2 linked regions of the Coturnix japonica genome follow. The protein of the gene in region 1 interacts with the protein of each later gene in a pairwise test. Links are inferred from orthologs where the notes say so. Each region holds a gene or a part of one and is shown on either strand. Other genes may lie near its edges.

Region 1 (3,751 bases):
GGCTCATAACAAGTTACAGGTGACAACCAGAGAAACCTCTCTGTGATATTCACAACTTCTGCAGGTAAAAACTACTTCTCCTTGGATACGTGGTGATCTCCACATATATCTATTGGAACCAAAGTGCTATCAGCCTTTTAGTACGATTGAGGAACTAGGGAACTACAAATATAAACCCCCAAATCTCCTTTATGTGCTTTCCGTGGCAACAAGCTGCATGACTTCCAGATACCTGAAAACAAACCTCAAAATAAAGTGGGTGAAAACTAAGAGTGAAGTCCAAGAGGGCAGCCTGACATTGCCTTCATTTCCATTGGGACTTGTGTGCATGGAGACCTGCAGCAAAAAGACAACTTCAGGACGAGGGGAAATGGCCTCAAGTTGCACCAGGGCAAGTTGAGGTTGGATATTAGGAAGAACTTCTTTACAGAAAGGGTAGTTAAGTACTGGAATAGGCTCCCCAGGGAGGTGGTTGAATCGCCATCCCTGGTTGTGTTTAAGAGCAGTTTGGATGTGGTGCTCAGGGATATGATTTAGTGGAGGGTTGTTAGGGTTCTGGTTAGGCTGCGGTTGGACTTGACGATCATCAAAGTCTTTTCCAACCTGGGTGATTCTATGATTCTCTGACTAAGGTCTATCAGCTGTGACTGACAGCTTTGGCAGCAACTCTGTGATGCAAGAGGTAACATACCTTAAAACTGGATGGTAACTTCAGACCAAACAAACAAACACTGGATTATTCACATCAGTGTAACACATTGTTACACAAATATCCACCACAGTCCTACATAACGTTTAACACACGGTTCCTCGGTGCACAGATAACTTCTCATTGCAACATGGGCACGTCCAACTTTTCCAGCCAACAGCCTCGTGCGGGAGCAACCGCGACATCAGATACGGTTACAGTGACCTCAGCTCTGTGTCAACACCACAAACGTCGGGGAAAAACATTAAGTAGCGAAACGATACTACAGAAGTTAATAAAAAAAAGCTATTCCCAACTAATGCCGGAAAAATACCAACAACCCTATTTGAATCCTATATGCTTCCCTTGGTTTAACATCTGGGTATTAAGGTGCTCACTATCAAGCAGCTTCTCACAGGCATTTGCCTACTGACCGCTGTGCTGGGCCAAATTCCAGATCCTGAACTCTCTGAACACTTAGGAGAGCTGTCAGGTGATTCGGTGCCGTTCCTACACACACAACCCAACGTACAGCACAGAATTCCCACCTCTCTCCTGCTCCACGCCTCCTTCTCCCACCAACACAACACGTCTGTGCTCACATGGCGCACACTGAGCTGAGGGTCACAGGGAGGTGGCAAATAATTCTGCATGTCGGTACAGCCGTATATGTTGGCAATGCTTTGGCCCCAGAGATGGCTGAACGTACCAAAACAGCACGTTCTATCAATGAAAATGGGAACGTGAGGTGGTAAGTAGACATAAAACATATCGGTATGGCACACACCCGCAGCACACAGCCTCACCTCAACCGGGTGGCAACAAAGAGAAGAAAAGAGAAACTAAAAGAGATCTTCGAGCGCTTTGTTCGACGACAAGGCGGACGGAAAAAGTTTCCCTCGTTGTGCAGTGACCGACACGGCTCACACAGCGCAGGGAGCGGCGGACAAAGCCCCGCACGGCACCGGCCGGCAGAACGGGCACGGGGGGGGGGGTTGGGGGAGCGCAGTATCGCATCCCCACACGACAGCGGCCGCCCAGCCCAAGTTGTGTTAGCGCTGCCGGCTCCGAACACAATTACAGCCCGAGCCCCGGCGGCGCGGAAGCAGCGCCAATCCGCCTCGTCCCGCCCTCCTTCCCGCCGCTCTCCCCGCTCATCACAAAGCGCCTCGCTCCGGCTCTCCCCGAACAAAGCCCCCGCCCCGCTCCCACCCGCCGCCCCTCCCGCCGTCGCCGCCCGCTCCCACCTCGGCGCCGCGAGCACACAAAGGCGGCCAGCCCGCCGCGCAGGCCCCGCGCCGCCCCGCCACAACATGGCCCCCCTCCCGCCCTCTCTCCGTCTCTCCCCTCCCTCGCCGCAGACAAAAGGGGGCTGGAGGAACGGGGGAAGGGGGCCGGCCCGCTCCCTCCCGCGGCCCAACGCCCCGCGCGGTGCCGCCGCTACTCACGGGCTGTCTGGCTGGCGGCGCCGTTCGCCGCGACGGAGCCGGAGCGGGCCGTGGGACACCGCCGGCCGCCCGCCGCCCCCCGCCGCTCGCTCGTGTCGGCTCGTCTCCTTCCGGCCTCCCCTCCCCCCCCTCGGCCGCGAGGGGCTCACAACAACATGGCGGGAGGGCGCGCGCGGAGGGAGAGGGACAGCGACAGCGCGGCCAAGCTCCCCCCGCCGCCACCGCCGCCGCTCGCCCCGGCCGCCGCCACAGCGCATGCGCGCCCCGCGCCGGGAGGAGGCGGGGAGGCGGCCTCCGGCACCTTCCGCCGCTCAGCGCGCATGCGCCGCCCGCCGTGTCCCTCAGAATCACAGAATGACCCGGGTTGGAAGAGACCTCAAGGATCGTGTAGTTCCAACCCCCCTGCCCGGCCGGGCCACCAAACACACACAGTTACTAGATCAGGTTGCCCAGGGCCCTGTCCAACCTGGCCTTGAACACCTGCAAGGACGGGGCATCCACAACCTCCCTGGGCAGCCTGTTCCAGGGCCTAACCACTCTTCTAGTGAAGAACTTCCCCCTAACATCCAACCTAAATCTTCCCTCTTTTAACTTAAAACCATTTCCCCGTGTCCTGCTATTGTCAGCCCTTTCGAACCCTCCTCCCCTCAGAGCGGCCGCTGCCACCGGGCACTGCGACGCTGCTTGTGCCCTTGGGTGCTGCGGCCGTTGCTTGTCAAGGAATGTTTTCAGCGTTATGGGAAGGGCTCGTCATTCATACAATAAACTGTAAATGCGTGGCCGGAGTTAGTAACACCGACTGGCTGATGTGCCTGGAGGTGGTGGCTGTGGGAGGGTTGAGTTCTTGCCTTCCCAGAGAGCATGCACCAGTACAGGCTGGGGGAAGACCTGCTGGAGAGGAGCTCTGCTGAGAGGGACCTGGGCGTCCTGGTGGACGACAGATTGACCATGAGCCATCAGTGTGCCCTTGTAGCCAAAAAAGCCAATGGCATACTGGGGTGTATTAAAAAGAGCGTGTCCAGCAGGTCGAAGGAGGTGATCCTCCCCCTCTACTCTGCCCTGGTGAGGCCTCATCTGGAATATTGTGTCCAGTTCTGGGCTGGACACCTACCACCTTCAGGCTGCACAGCACTGCAGGTCCCAATTGATGACAGCTATCTGTCCACATTCCAGAGCAGGGCCCTGGAGTGGCAGGACATCCCCTGAGCACATCCCTTGTTACCTACATGTCCACGAGAAGTGCTGACTCAGATGAATGCTTTGTGCGTTCACAGGAGCAGGTCCTGGTTTGATGAAGTTATTAATTATACCACACGCTGCATCTGGCAGCTTGTGCACAGTTCTGGATACCACTTTGTCAACAGACATACCCATAATTAATTAAAAATACTGAAATACCACCTCCACAAGATTCATTGCTAAATGCATGGCTGTGGGACTCCCTTGGTATTTCATGTTTTAGGCCAGCAGTGGCTGTGATATTTAGGAGCTTGTACTGAGATGAGAGCTGTAGCCCAGTGCCCCAGCATCCCCTTCAGGCAGCCTCTCCCTGGGGCCTCATGCATTACTTACACATTGTAGATTTTGCACAGAGGGACTTTCCCACCCACACATC
Region 2 (3,651 bases), on another chromosome or scaffold:
TTACCTTTAACCTCCTGTAATGCTCTCACTAAACCCATGTATCTACTGAGGATCTTCACAAGCCTTGTATCCTTAAATTACTCATTAGTGACTGCCAGGTTTCATTCTGTTTTACGCACACTATCCATGCCAATCTTTGCTGTTTTATCATTGCCTCAGTATGAAGCCACTTACCTTTATTCCTTCAAATTTTCCCAACAGATCCAAGACTTTAAATTGCACCAAGACCAGGACTACATTAATTTTGTTTCTGACTTCATATACAAAGAAGCATACAGCAACAACAGCAGGTATTTGTTTTAGTTTCAGCTGGGACAGAGTAGCTTTCCTTCAGTGTCTGGTATGATGCTTTGTTTTGGTTTTAGGGAAAAAAACAACACTGACTGAAACTAAGTGTCACTTAGTGACACTTCCAGCTGTTGCTGAGCGTTTTTTTTCCCCTCAGCTTCTCCCACTGCCCTGCCACCAACGGCACTGCAGGAGGCACAAGGAACTGGGAGGGCACAGAATCAGGACAACCGACCTAAACTTGCTAAAGGGATATTTTGTAACATATGATATCATGTAGAAGTTAAGTATGAAAAGGGGAGTTCATCAGGCAGCCTGCCACTGCTCAGGGACAAGCTAAGCATTGCTGGGTCGGTGGTGAGCATTGCTGGGTGCATCCCTTGTTTTTTATATATGTGTGTGTAAAGGATAACAGTTACAGACACACACACACAATTATCACAACTGTTACCCATTTTTCCTCTTCATTCTCTTGGTTAACAGTTTTCACCTCAACTCACAAGCTCTACTTTTGGTTGTTTCTGGGTTTTTAATTATCTTCCCATACCACTGGGAAGGAGGGAGTGCAGTGAAGAAAACACTACATGGTACTTCACAGCCTGCTGGGTTAAATCACAACAACATTTAAGCAAGTTTACTTCAGGGCAGTTCTAGTCTTTTGTTTTTACTTTCCTCAGTGGGACTGGTTTCCCCTAACCACACCTACAGCCTTCATATGGAAGGTTCTTCTGACAGCCTAAGACTTAAAGAGCTTACCTCTACAATTTTTTGAACATCCACATTGTCCAGGAATGAAACAAATCCATACCTGAAAAGAAAAAAATATATATTTATATAAAATAAATATATATATGTACACACACATATATATATTTAACTGAAACAGTTAAAAGAGCATACACTGATATTAACAGGACATTAATATATCATTCAGCATGAAAGTACATTTGTTGCTGACCGACAGCACACTGGGCCAAATGAAAGGAATTAAATGCCAGATTCAATACTCTCCCATTTACGTTACTCTAGTGAGTACTATTGTTGATATTAGTAGCATCAGAAAGCCAAAAGCTCTTTTAATTAGGATGTTCTAAATTCCATACTTACTGCAGAGGATTGAACCAAAGGAGGAACTACAGGAATAATTACACCACTGGAGGAAGTGATCCCAAAAGAGGTTTTAAATTTATTTCACTATCTTTTATTTAAGCCTGAATATTGGAGACAATTCTCAGAACTATAGTAGAGTGTGTCAATCAATGGAGTATGGCAATTTATCAATAATCAGAACATACACTTGCCAATCACACATTAGAATTCACCACAAAGATGAGGCAAGAGACATTAAGCTCAATATTTTCAGCTCATTACTATACATGCCTATGAAAAAAATAAAAACCATGCTACATTTTGGAATCTGCTCAGACATAGAAGGGAACTGGTGCACCTTCAGAGCTGAAGTCTTACTCACAAAACAAGTCTAATATCAAAGCTGGGAGAGCTTCCTCTGAACTCCGCTGAGCAGAGTCCTAGGCATCTTGAGTTCTTCACTACAGATCAGAGTTCTTTCTATACATCCAATGGAAATGTCTCTGTAACTTTCTACCATCCCTTAAGTTTCACCCACCACCTGAAACAGTTTGGTTGCCTCTAACTTATCCCTGAGCAACCAAAGACTGCAGTCCCCAATGAAAGTCTACTCTCTTTCTCTCTCTGTTACATTAGTGGTTCTACACTGATTGTTGCCACTTAACTGCTATGGCCGTAATAAATAAATAAATAAATTTCAGCCTGTGAAAGAGCAGCCTCCACAAGCCTCCATTAAGTTTTATGCTTTGCTCCCATTGGTTAAATAACAACACTACTTTTCCATGAACAGGTTCACCAACAACCTAAAATCTGTCCTGTTCTCAACTGTAAGATTACAAAGATTTCAGATCAGTCTAATTTTACATGCTTCACTTTAATTCACCTTAATTTGAAAGGCTTGAGCATCGTAAGTGAGCAACAACCTAACAACAGACATCATTATATTAGAATTCCTTTACTACATAAGCAGTAACCAATGACATTGCGCTCACCCTTTGGAAACACCAGTTCTGTCAGTGATTATTTTCACCTCCTTCACAGTACCATATTGTTCAAAGTAACTTCGAATTTCTGCTTCATTCATCTAAAAGAAACAAAGTCTTGAACTACTTCGCACAGTAAACTGTTACAATTGGTTTAAAGCAACAAATACTATTTTTAAACCCATCTCCAAGTATTCCAGGAAAATCTTATTGGTCTGTTTCGAAGTTCTCTTAACACAGTGTATTAATTCAAGAATGGTAAAGACCCAATTAAAGACCTCCAGAAGTTAAAATTCCTATTTCTTTCCCACTGGAGCACATTACACGTTGTTTTAAACATTGAAAGTATAGAAATACCCTTGTATCAATTCCACCAACAAAGACTGTATTTGGCATGATTTTTCCTTCTGGTAAAACATATCCTTGGCAGGTTGTTGACAAATGGCTGTTATCCTCTGAGATACTTCCACATTGGGCTTCCGCATTTGCAGACTGAAAAGGTTAAACAGAAATATTTCAGTCACATTATAATACGCTTCTAGGTAAGACTTCATCTTCCCATAGATGCAGTTTGAGACCAGAAATGTCAGTAGCATCTTCCCAATTACTTACAAGTATTTAGTGCAAATGGAGCATTCATATAGATAAGTTTGAACCAACTCTTCTTTGAGGTTAAGATGTCAGATCTAGACTCATGCAAGGCTACACTAAGCAGCCTTGCCCAGCTGGAAGCTTCACAACCACTGTTGCCACCACCCAACTTACAAGGAGAACCTCAACATTATTCAGCTCAAAGTTCTACACGATTCCTTTCAGATGCAAGCAAGAAATACTTCAATTCTTTACTGTGAATTGATTATCCAATGAATAAATTCCATCACCTTCCCAATCAAAAGCCTGAAATGCTCAAGAAGCAAGCAAAGCTTATGATTTGTTCACATTGACTACACACAATTCCATTTCCTACTGCTGATGCCACATGTTCCCTACTCTAAAACACACTTCAAATGCTACACAAAGATATTTGCAAGAACTGAAATACACCACAGGCAGATGAAACTCCAGTTCCTCATCTTCTCAACTGAATAAATGGTTCTAGGTACATGCCATTCCTGTAGATAAAAACCACTTTGACCACCTCAGTAGAGCTCATTTCTCTGTATTAAGACATCCCAAAGTATTAATAATCTCTTCCTTACACCTGGTGTGGCATTATCCCTATTTCAGATAGGCAGACCTTTTGATGTAGTTGAGGTTACTGATACTTTGAAACCTAATAATAATTTACAAC

Evidence for each region.
Region 2: the proteins of PUM2 (region 1) and DAZL interact in a two-hybrid assay, tested with the Homo sapiens proteins (2 studies listed by BioGRID and IntAct). The link is inferred for Coturnix japonica from reciprocal best matches to the Homo sapiens genes PUM2 and DAZL.

Annotation. Positions count from the first base shown.
Region 1 is NC_029518.1:92,782,394-92,786,144, forward strand, and holds the start of PUM2 (pumilio homolog 2), read right to left. Parts: upstream 2,381-3,751; 5' UTR 2,137-2,380; intron 1-2,136. UniProt on the Homo sapiens protein: Sequence-specific RNA-binding protein that acts as a post-transcriptional repressor by binding the 3'-UTR of mRNA targets.
Region 2 is NC_029517.1:31,523,560-31,527,210, forward strand, and holds part of DAZL (deleted in azoospermia-like), read right to left. Parts: intron 2,853-3,651; coding exon 2,718-2,852; intron 2,462-2,717; coding exon 2,370-2,461; intron 1,097-2,369; coding exon 1,045-1,096; intron 1-1,044. UniProt on the Homo sapiens protein: RNA-binding protein, which is essential for gametogenesis in both males and females. Plays a central role during spermatogenesis.